3 linked regions of the Sus scrofa genome follow. The protein of the gene in region 3 purifies or fractionates together with the protein of the main gene of each other region. This does not show direct contact. Links are inferred from orthologs where the notes say so. Each region holds a gene or a part of one and is shown on either strand. Other genes may lie near its edges.

The links.
Region 1: the proteins of RAB6B (region 3) and SLC12A6 purify together in Homo sapiens (affinity purification with mass spectrometry; 4 studies listed by BioGRID and IntAct, with this or other methods). This does not show direct contact. The link is inferred for Sus scrofa from reciprocal best matches to the Homo sapiens genes RAB6B and SLC12A6.
Region 2: the proteins of RAB6B (region 3) and SLC12A4 purify together in Homo sapiens (co-immunoprecipitation; 3 studies listed by BioGRID and IntAct, with this or other methods). This does not show direct contact. The link is inferred for Sus scrofa from reciprocal best matches to the Homo sapiens genes RAB6B and SLC12A4.

What each region holds. Positions count from the first base shown.
Region 1 is NC_010449.5:80,237,717-80,241,363, reverse strand, and holds part of SLC12A6 (solute carrier family 12 member 6), read right to left. Parts: intron 2,223-3,647; coding exon 2,091-2,222; intron 740-2,090; coding exon 593-739; intron 1-592.
Region 2 is NC_010448.4:28,562,945-28,566,591, forward strand, and holds part of SLC12A4 (solute carrier family 12 member 4), read right to left. Parts: intron 2,413-3,647; coding exon 2,266-2,412; intron 2,181-2,265; coding exon 2,126-2,180; intron 1-2,125. UniProt on the Homo sapiens protein: Mediates electroneutral potassium-chloride cotransport when activated by cell swelling. May contribute to cell volume homeostasis in single cells. May be involved in the regulation of basolateral Cl(-) exit in NaCl absorbing epithelia.
Region 3 is NC_010455.5:75,072,460-75,076,838, forward strand, and holds the start of RAB6B (ras-related protein Rab-6B), read right to left. Parts: upstream 2,866-4,379; 5' UTR 2,427-2,865; coding exon 2,357-2,426; intron 1-2,356. UniProt on the Homo sapiens protein: The small GTPases Rab are key regulators of intracellular membrane trafficking, from the formation of transport vesicles to their fusion with membranes. Rabs cycle between active GTP-bound and inactive GDP-bound states.

The sequences.
Region 1 (3,647 bases), on a different chromosome or scaffold from region 3:
TAGACAGCTGAATAATGAAATTAAAAAATTTATAATAATCAACTTACAATAAAATTGAGAGATGTGGCTGGGATACACAGATAAGAGAAGTTTAAATTAAAGGAAGTTCAGAATGTTCTCAGTGTAGTGAAGAGAAGATCTGGAAACAATACCCAAATTTCTGGGGAAAGGACAATGGATGAGACTTCAAAACAAAACAAATACCTCTCATTTCCAAACAACAATCAGTTTTGTTAATCTTCACTATACTGGAGTAAGCATATCATGTTTTCTAACACATTTTCTGTCACAACATTGGTATTATCAAGCTCAAATAGTTTGTATCTGAATTTTTGGAAGTCAGAACCTGTATCTTCTCCTTCTTATAGAAGTCCTTCTTTGTAATTTCAAGTATATCATATTATAAACAGTAAATAACTGACACTAAGTAATTGAAGATCCTTTAGATTTTAATATCAAAATAATCTCTCCTGTTGAGATGGCAAGTCCTTCCCCAGTATGTATTCTTTGTTTTATTCTCAAAGAGGCCAAGCATGATACTCGAGCTTGAGCAGTGTTCCAGGTGATCTCCAGGAGCCAACTTGGGACTTACACAGCAGCAGCAGATAAGGACAATTGCAAAGGCCTGCAGAACTCCAGCTGTGCCCACCACCCATGTAAGGCGTAGAAACAGGATCACTCCAAAAATATTCTGTAGACATGGGAGGTAGACACCCATGAAGGTACCCATTTGGGGGGTCTAGAAAGAAAGATGTTGATGAAAGAAAAAATCATATAGTCATCATCTAGAAGTGATGCTTTTATCCCTTTATTTTTATATAAAAACTTGCACCCTAACTATGAACTGCATATGAATTGCAAAGTAGAGATAAATTTAAGCACTATCTTTAAACAGGCACATATAAAATCTCCATCTTAACAAATTTCTATCACTATACCCTTTATTATTCCTAGAGACACACATTTTTTTTTTTTTTTTGTCTTTTTGCTATTTCTTGGGCCGCTCCCGAGGCATATGGAGGTTCCAAGGCTAGGGGTCGAATCAAAGCTGTAGCCACTGGCCTACGCCAGAGCCACAGCAATGTGGGATCCGAGCCGTGTCTGCAACCTACACCACAGCTCACGGCAACGCCAGATCGTTAACCCACTGAGCATGGGCAGGGACCGAACCAGCAACCTCATGGTTCCTAGTCAGATTCATTAACCCCTGCGCCACGACGGGAACTCCAGACACACATTTTTATTTTACATAAGTCTCCACATATTTTTACACAGACATTTGATCACAAACTTTTTTTTTTTCTTTTTTTTGGCTGCCCCACTGCATATGGAGTTCCCAGGCCAGGGATCAGATCCAAACTGCAGCTGCAGCAATGCTGGATCCTTGATCCACTGTGCCAGTCCAGGGATCAAGCCTGTGTCCCGGGACTCCCAAGACGCCACTGATCCAACTGTGCCACAAACAAACTTTTAAGTGCATCTTCAATAATTTAAAATTTTTTCTCTTCAAAGCCAATGGCTCTTTCTGTTCTTTTTTTTAAATGGAATAATGACTTGATGGAATTCTGTTAGAATTTGGCATAAATCTTTCATAGCAGGTGGTAAATGTAATTGATAAAAAATGAAGATCTGAGTGTCACTTTACTCCTGAACAACCAGAAAACTAACTTGTAATACTATCCCATATTTTCATGTTGAGAGAAACTGGTATTTGGTCTTAAAAAGCCCAACAACTTCACCATAGAGACATGGCGTCAGTGGATGGATATGGCCAATTTTCTTTTCTCATTTTTTTGTCTGTACCCATAGTATGTGGAAGTCCGTGGGCCAGGGACCAAACCCGTACCACAGCAGTAACAACACTGGATCCTTAACCCACTGCACCAGGAGGCAATGCTGGGTGAGATACTTTTCTTCTGGTGTGATATTCCATCTCCCTGGAACACTGCCCCCCAACTGTTTTACATGGCTCACTACCTCTCGGGCCTGGCACATATCAAGCATTCTTGCACATAGAGTGATGGCCTGGATATCTCCTTTATTATAATATTGGGCTCCTTTTATTTATCTTTGTTATTCTAAGGCCTCACCTTGGTGGCCTTCTTTTTCCCTTCAGTGATGTTCTCTGCCTCTTCATGTTCTTTTGCTCCTTGTGTCAGGTTAGTATAATTGGCCAACCGGTTGAGGAGAGAAGACACTTTTGGCCTGGTGTCCATTTCTTCCTATAAAGCCAGAAATACGAATGAAATACATGATGAAGACACTGTACATAAGCATAAAAATGATCCCTCTACCAGAAAGTTACAAAGTAAATGAGAAAAATTTCATAGGTAAACATTTTAAGAAAATTTATTGATGAGACTGTTTGCCCCACATATTATAATACATAATCAGGGCTACACAAATACTTATGAAACACTTTTTTTTTTTTGGACTACATCCATGGCATATGGAAGTTCCCAGGCCAAGGACTGAAGCCGAGCCACAGCTGCCACCTACCCTGCAGCTCAGGTAACACTGGCCCCTTTAACCCACTGTCCCTGGCCAGGTATCAGACCCATGCCTCCTTGGTGACTTGAGCTGCTGCAGTCAGATCCTTAACCCAATGCACCACAGCAGGAACTCCCTTATAAAATTCTCAAATGAAAAGCTTTATTATTCCTAATAGCTTAACTTTACCATAAAAGCAAAACTACATGGGCTCCTACAGATAGTTGTAGTCCTTATAAAGAACACCGATAACATAATCTTTAAGCACAGTGATACTAACAGTCTACTAATATTTATAGCAATTATTCATGGTACCAAGCATGCACAGATCAAAAGAAAACTTGTGATTGAATCAAATATTCACCTCAGACCTTTTCTTGAAGGCAGATAAAATAACATTTAAAAAATAGGTACACTGAGAAAAGTGGCACTTGAGTCATTGTCCAAAGTAAGACAAAGGCAGTGCTGAACTAAACTAGGCTCCTTTCAACCTGGCCACAGAATATCAGAGTTCATGCTGTCTTAGTCAGATAAGGCATTAGCAAGTCCTCTGAATCCAGCAGCCTGGAGTTCCCATCATGGCTTGGCACTTAATGAACCCGACTACTATCCATGAGAATGTGGGTCTGATCCCTGGCCTTGCTCAGTGGATTAAGAACCCGGTGTTGCTGTGAGCTGCAGCAGACGTGGCTTGGATCCCGCATTGCTGTGGCTATGATGTAGGCCAGTGGCCACAGCTCCAACTGGACCCCTAGCCTGAGAACCTCCATATGCCTCAGGTTCGGCCCTAAAAAGACCAAGGAAAAAAAAAAAAAAATCCAGCAGCCTGCTTCCTACTCTGACTTTGGGTTAGTAAGATAAATGACAGTCATCCCAAACACAGAGTTGAAAAATGCTTTATACTTAGTAGATTTTTCCAATATAAACATTTAAATCCTAGCTGAGTTAGATAACAAAGTTCTCCATATGCCTGTGATGTCAACATTTCTCCTCTTTACTCCATGGAAATTTGATTAAATGATTATCTATTAATCAACAATAATTATATAGATTAAATCAACTACAATGACAAGCTATAATAAGCACTATACTTTAACAGCTAGTTATTAAGGAATCCAACCTACAATGTTTTAAAACTAAATGGGGTGGGAAAACAG
Region 2 (3,647 bases), on a different chromosome or scaffold from region 3:
GAGGCCTCCTCCAAGACAAACTCTTACAATTGCCCTAAGGGACAAGGATTGCTTTTCCTGTTTACAGATGAGCAGAAGGGTTAAGAAACTTGCTTAAGGCTGCATGGTTAGTAAGTGACCAGGCAGGGGTTGGACCTGATTTCCATCTGACTCCAACACTCAGCACAGGCCAATGAAATGACTACTCTGCTGGGGCAGCTCTAGGTCGGCAGCAAAGATTAACTGGCCTGTTAAGTCAGTTCCCTGACTGACCTGCAGTTAGGTCAGTCCCCACAGCCTCCTCCTGGCTGGGTGTGTCCAATCTCAGCAGGCATCACCCCTCCCAAGGGCTATGTCCGTTAGTCTGACTCCTCCAGACCAGGACAAGGACTGTATCCTGTTTAGTTTTTTGTTCCCAGAGCTGGCTACTGGACAAGTGTCCACGCTGATCCTCCTGCCCTGAAGCTGTGCTTCCATCAGAGTCTAACACCCCTGGCACAACTATGTGAATCAACACTGGGCCCTGGGGCCAGAGTGGGTGCAGAGGATAAGAGTGATACCATGTTGCTTGTTGAATCTACTTCTGATAAAACTTCTTTTCTCTAGTGAAAAGTCTAGGAACAGGGATCAAGAAGCTTTAAAAGCACTAACCCCGGAGTTCCCGTGGTGGCGCAGTGGTTAACGAATCTGACTAGGAACCATGAGGTTGCGGGTTCGATCCCTGCCCTTGCTCAGTGGGTTAACGATCCGGCATTGCCGTGAGCTGTGGTGTAGGTTGCAGATGCGGCCCGGATCCAGCGTTGCTGTGGCTCTGGCGTAGGCCAGTGGCTAAAGCTCCGATTAGACCCCCAGCCTGGGAACCTCCATATGCCGCGGGAGTGGCCCAAGAAATAGCAAAAAAGACAAAAAAATAAAAATTTTAAAAAATAAATAAATTAAAAAATTAAAAAAAAAAAAAAAGCACTAACCCCTTTCATGTTGTAATCCCATCTCTAGGACCCTCTCCTAAGGGAGGCATGAACACAGATTGGTATCCAAGGCTGTTTACCACAATAATGTTTACCAAAGTAAAAATATAGAACCTAAGAGTAGAATAATCTCATAAATTAGGTAATATCAATCCTGTTTTAAAAAATCAAGTAAAATTCTAGAATTCTCTTTTGGCACAGTGGGTTAAGGATTAGGCATTGTCACTGCTGTAGCTTGGGTTGCTGCTGTGAAGTGAGTTCAGTCCCTGGCCTGGGAACGTCCATACGCTGTGGGCACAGACAAAAATAAAATAAAAAATCAAGTGAACTGTTTTAGTATTTGGGAAACACACACACAGGGGAAAACAATAGGTCTCAAGAACTTGACAAGACCATGTACCAAAAGGCTAAAAGTTATGAACACAGGATGGTGGGATTAGGGGTACTTCCAATTTTCTTTTCTGCATTTTTCTGCACTTTCAAATCCTCTTATGGTAAACATATACTGCCTTTACCCCCTATAATTTTATACTAATACTAATAAAACTGTAATTTGAAAAAAAGAAAAAGTATTCAAACATGGAGCCAACTTGAATAGCCAAATAGCCAAAGTGGAACCGTTCAAGCAATAAAATAAATGATAGTACTAGATTATGAATGAAAGAATAAAATAAATATTCAGGAGTTCATACTCATATAAATACAAGGTTGAGTGAATAAATAAATGGGGTCTCTGAAAACCGAGTCCAATCTTATCACCCGGGTCGAAACCTTCTGAACTGTCTACCATGTAATCGAGTGTGGTCCAGAGTCCTTGGCTTGGGCCCTGTTGCCTATGGCACGTGGAGGCTCCCAGGCCAGGGATAACCCACACCACAGCAGCAACCTGCACCACATCATCAACCCGAACCACAGCAGTGACAATGCCAGATCTTTAACTTTCTGTGCCATGAGAGAACTCCCCAAGTCCCTCTTTAAAAAATTACTTTTATATTAAAAAACAAACAAACAAAACAACAGCAATCTCAAACTCCGTTAAGCAAAGATGCTCCTAAGTCATGGGACTGTCATGGAGTCAAGAACTAAACACTGTCTGAGGGGGGTGATGAGGGTTCCTGGGGATAACAAGATGGATGCTGGGCCCATCCCCACCTCAGGCCTGAGTGGTGCTCACCCACCTGGAACCACCCCGTTGGTGGCGATGGCGCTCATGGAGATGGCTGTCAGCAAGGTCTGTGGGAAGGAGAGCAGAGATGAGCAGCTCAGCTGGGCCAGCGCTGTGGGGTGGCCACAGCCCTGTCCCAGCTGGGATACTCACACAGCAGCAGCAGATGAGCACAATGAGGAGGGCCTGCAGCACCCCAGCCGTGCCCACCATCCAGGTCAGCCGCAGGAAGAGGATGACCCCAAAGATATTCTGCAGGCAGGGCAGGTACACCCCCATGAGGGTGCCCATGCTGGGCGCCTATGGAGCGAGTGAGGAGGGGAGCGGGGAGACACAGAGCGTCAGAGGGGCCCAGAGGCCCCATGGAAGGTTGGCCCCCAGTCACTCAGCAGTCCCCTACCCCCAGGGCCTTCTACCAGAGAACAGGATGGAGAGGGACATCCCAAGTGTAGTCCTGGGGAGCATGGGGTGGGGATGTGACAGGATATCTGTGTTGACTTTTTTTTTTCCAGCCACACCAGCGACATGTGGAAGTTCCTGGGCTGGGGACTGAACCTGCACCACAGCAGCAACCAGAGCCAATGTAATGACAATGCTGGATTCTTAACTCATTCTGCCACAACTGAACTCCCTGTGCTGACTTTGATACATGAAGAAACAGCTCAGGACTGGGAAGGTACAAAACCTAATCCTTTTTTTTTTTTTTTTTTTTTTTTGCTTTTTAGGACTGCATCTGCATCATATGGAGGTTCCCAGGCTAGGGGTCCAATCAGCCACACCACAGCCACAGCAACGCACCCTCCCCTTCCTCTCCTTTGTTAAACTTCTGGAAAGTAAGGTCTGTCTTATCCTCACCTTCTCATGCAGCAGCCCTGCATCGCCCAAACCAGAGTCCAAGAAGTTGTTCCTGATCCTCCCTCTCTCCAAGCCCCTATTCCAGTCCAGCAGACACTGAGTCCTGTCTAATCTGCCTCTCAAGCTGCCCTCAGATCCACCTGCGTTCCCTCAGCCTTGGTCCCTTGAACCTGGGCGTTACACCAGGGCACCTAGGTGGTGCCTTCTTGTGTCTGTCAATCCTTCCAAACCCCAGCCCACTCTACTGCCAGAGCAGGTCTCTGCCTTGGCTTGAGCCACCAGGCATGCCCCATTACCTTTGTCAGCCTCAGCCCCTGACAGCATCAGTCCCTCAAAGCTTCTGAACCAGGGCATGTGCTGGGCTCTGCCTCGAAGGGTGACTCCTGCTGCACTCCTGGCAAATTTCTCTTCAGTTAAACCTTCAGGAGACTTAACTGTTGACTTCACCAGGTTGCCTTAGGTGGAGTTGGTACTTCCTCCTGCATCTCCTTAGCACCTGATATACCCTCCATCATAGTGATCATGAACAGGTCATGGTAACTGTTCACTCGAATGGCTCATGACCACACTGGGGGTGACTTGGCTTGTTCACTCTTCTATCATCAGTGGGCCCTACAGGTACTCAAAAGGTGCTCCTAAGCCCAGTGAGAGGTGCCTCAAAAGGCCTCTGGGATAACCTG
Region 3 (4,379 bases):
TGCACAGTCCCCTACCTAACTCAGGGACCCAACCCACTAATGACACAACAAAGTGGGAGGAGACTTTTCAGGACCCTAGGGTTCCCTGCCAGAAGGAACCAGAGTGGCTAATAGCCAGTCTCACTGATAGCAGTGCCTTTTCCCTAATGACCATGTTCAAGGGCCCAGAAACCATGCTCTCAACCAACAAGCCTGGCATCCCCACCAGGTCACCCAGCCCAGCCACAAGCCTGGCCCGATAACGACAACCCTCACCCCTCTTCAGAAAGCTCCCCAAAGCTTGGCTTCCTCAATTCAAGGTCACCTTATTTCCCAATGACATTTTAGTGACTGGGAACAGGAGACAGGGGTTTCAGTCCCTGAAGTTTTCACAACTCACCATAGGACCCTGGGTCCACAGCCCATTCCTGGGGTCAAACATCCCATATAAACATGCTGGGAGGTGTGGCTCATGCTCTGAAGCCTTCAGCTCTCATTTCTGTGATTTTTAGGTGCAAAGGGGGTTTGTAGTGCTCAGAAGGGGTCTCAGCCCATCAGGGATTCTTCCTTCAAACACACCAGAGACATTGTTCTCATCAACTGAAGCATGTTCTTGGAATAAACGAGTGTTTGTTGAGAATCTCCCACAGTCCAGAGGCATTAGGGAAACATGAACGGGTAAGAGAACTACCCTCAGGCAACCATCTTACAGAGACATATCTAAGATTCAGAGAGACCTGGAAATTCGCTCATGGGAACACAGCTAAGAATTCAACTCCCAGGGCTCCAGGCCCAGTAAAACTAAATTGGATGCGAAGACCACCCTTCCCCGCAAATCCCTTTAGACACAAAGAAAAGTTAGAAACTGGAATCTACTGTAAAGATCAGAAACACAGAGTCCAGGACACAGAGCTGGCTGGTTGAGTTGAGATTGTTCTGAAATGCCCAGCCTGGCCCCCAAATCCATGTCAGAGCTTGACCACTTTCTTACACCCTTCTCTGATCATCCCTCCATTCCGAGTAATGAGCAGCACCAGGCAGGAGACTGCCATGTGACCTCAACAACCCTCATGTTCACCCATCACAGTAGCGCTGTTCCCAGAGCCCACCAGGTCCTCCCAAGGTTGTGTGTGTCTTGGCCCATTGTGCTGACAGGCATCAAACCAGGTGAACGCGACTGGTAGAGCTGGGGGTTCTGCCCCCAGGACAGCTTCTCCCAGAGCAGAGCTGGTCAGGGCCCAGTTTGTTTCCCTGCAGCTCCAGGTGAAAGGCCTTTGCAGGGATGCTCTAAGAACCACTCCTTCTACAAGTGTCAGAGGCTCCAGGCTCCTCAATCAGATCTTCCCACCTTGGGACTAACCTGGGTTTCAGAGATGCTCTCCCCTGGGAGGCTACTGGGCAGCACGGAAGCTGTTTGTCTCCCCCTCCCCCAGCCCCTGGCCCGCTGCCACGGTGACCTCCCCTCCCCCAAGAAGGGCGGTGAGCTGGGAGGTGGGGGTGGGAAGGAGCCGCCACCAACGCTCTGGGGAGGGGTGCTGGGAAGCCAGGCAGGGCGTGTCGTCTGGTCCTTTCTTTGCCCGGCACTGGGCTTCACAGCTCTAGGTGAGAGGCGCCCCCCTTACCATCCGGCAAATCTGCCTCGCACTGGGGACCCTTGCTGTCATCGCCCAAATCCCTGAGCCCCAAAGGGTCTAACACACACTGGCGAAGGGCAGCGGGTCTAGAACCTTCTGTGCCCAGTCGGACGTAAGCCAGGGGAGGTAGGCGCCCTGTTCCCCCACCACCTGCATCCGCTCTTTCCAGAAGAGACAGTATCCGTCTTTCCCCTGCAGCGGTCTGCCCCCGGGCCTGGACGTGCCCGTAATTACCGTTGCAGGGCAAAGGCCTCAGGGAACCCCTCTGGTGCCGCGGGGTGGGGAGAGGGCAGACGCCAGCCCAGTCTCGTTCTCCAAAGAGGGGCGCCCGTCCTCCCCGCGCCCCTCGCCGGCGCCCCGCCACCTGCGCCGTCGCCCGCAGCCGGTGCCGCAGTGCGAGCGAGCCAGCGAGCCCGGAGCCTTCACGCCTCGGCCGGCGCCGCCGAGCGAGCCGCCGCCCTCCCGCCTCCCCGCCGCGCCGCACCTGCATCCGCACCCCAAGCCCCCACCTCAGATCCCATCCTCGCCCCCATCTCTGGCCCAGCGCCTCCTCGGTCCTTACCCTAGTTCCCTCCTCTGCCCGGCCCCACCCGAGCCGGCCAGGACTTCCCCATCCCCATCCCTTGCCTCCACCCCGGCATGGAGGGCCCTTTCCCAGCCGGGGCCGGGGTCCCAGTAGGGTGGATGATTTGGCGGCGGGGGTCGACTGGGCGCCAAGCCAAGAGAATAAGCAGGGCACTTACCGCTCTGCTCCCCTAGGAACACCAACTTGAATTTTCTCAGTGGGTTCCCAAAATCTCCCCCTGCGGACATGGTGCTGGCAGTCTGGGCTAGGAGAGGAAGAGGAGGAGAAGCGAAGGAGCAGGGAGGGGAGAGGAGGAGGGCGAGGGGAGGCGGCCGGCGGTGCGGGAGCCGGAGGGGGAAGGGCTGGCTGCGCGCGTCCCTGTCTCCCCAGCTGCGTCCCGGCCCCGGCCTGCGGCTGCGTGTCCGGCGGCGGAGGAGGAGGAGGAGGAGAAAAAGGAGGAGGAGGAAGAAGGCTGGGGCTGGGCTGCCGCGGGCGGCGCTTGATGCGGTGCGAGGGGCGCGCTCTGGACGCCCGAGGCGCTGCGCGGACAGCGAGGCGCAGGCGGAGCCGGGGCGCAGGGAAGGCGCGCGGGGCGGAGGAGCGCTCTCCCGAGCCGCACCAGTCGGCTCCCCCTCCCGCCTCTCTCCTCTGTCCGCGCCTGCGCTCTGCGCGCTCCCCAGCCTCTGATGTCATGCGGGGCTCGCGGCGCTGCGGGGCTGGGGGGCCTCCGCCCACCCACCTACCCGGAACCGTCACCCGGGCGTGAGAGAACCGCCTCGCAGTGAGTCCGTGAGGCCCCCGAAATGGGCCCTCTCTGGTTGCCCCACTACGTTTGTCTTCCCTACTCTACCGCTCCTTTGAATCCAGAAAATGACGTGAAATTGTCAAGGGACATTTGTTTCTGGTCTTTTAAACCTAGATGCTAGTCCCTTCTTCCACCTCCTGCGACACCGATGCACTCAGCGCAGCCATCGAGAGGGCGAAAGAAAGGGAGTAGGGGGTGAGCCAGGGTGTGGTGGGCCATGTGGGCGCAGACGGGCTTTACTGTCATCTTGTGCATCTCCGGCCCTCCCTCCCCTCCCTAGGGCCAGATCCCTCCTCTTGGGGGCCTCTGTGGGGTCACGGGTGTTCGGGCAGACGTGGCCCGCGAAAGAGTAGACGCCAGTAAAGAGCGCACCTACCTCAAACCTACCGCTCCTAAAGATCATTTTTTCCTAAACCTGCTGCCACGTAGTAGAGAAAGAGCAGCGAGGCTCTGAATGTCAGGACGGCCATCTCCAGGACGATGCCCTGGTTCCCTTGGACCTTGGAGTCACCGGGCTGTCAATGCCACTCCTTGCTCTGGCAACGAAGTGTATCAGGACAATGATTTCCAGGAGGACAGGAGGAAGACCTGTCCAGATCATTTGTTTCTGATGAGTGGGTGACAACTAGGAGTGGATGCCAGGAGTTAGAAGCACCCCCAGCCCCGTCCTAGTATTCTGGTTAGTTGAGATTTTACAAAGCTGCCTCTTACTGCCCTGCCACCACGTGGTCTATTCTTTTAGGTCTGTTCAATGAACATTTATTTGGAATTATAATCCAAATATTTGGGAACAAGGTGCGTGTGTGTGTGTTTTACACATAGAGAAAATTGAGAAGCAGTCTTCATCTCTAGAGATTTCCAGGGGATATTTGTTGCCCTTTTTTTGACTTACATGGCTTGCCTGGGATGTCTCCCTGTCTGGATCCCTGGTTTGTTTACCCAGAGTCTCTCTTTCACTGTTTATTAAAAACCATGAGTTTCATGGTTATTAAAACTTAATTAACAATATTGAGTTCCATGATAGTAGCAGTTGTGGCTCGACTACTGAATCCCAAGGACCTAGCATGTTGAATGTTTGAATGAATGTCAAGAATCCAAATCAGAACAACTGTTTCACTTAAGAAGATATTGTCTTTTCTCCATTGTGTAATTTTGCCTACTTTGTCATAGATTAATTGATCATAAGTGTATGGGTTTATTTCTAGGCTCTCTATTCTGTTCCATTGATCTATGTGTTTGTTTCTGTGGCAGGACCATACTGCTCTGATTACTCTAACTTTGAGATATAGTCTGAAGTCAAGGAGTATGATTTCTACAGCTCTGTTCTTCTTTCTCAAGACTGTTTTGGCTATTTAGGGTTTTTTGTGTTTCCATACAAATTTTGAAATAATTTATT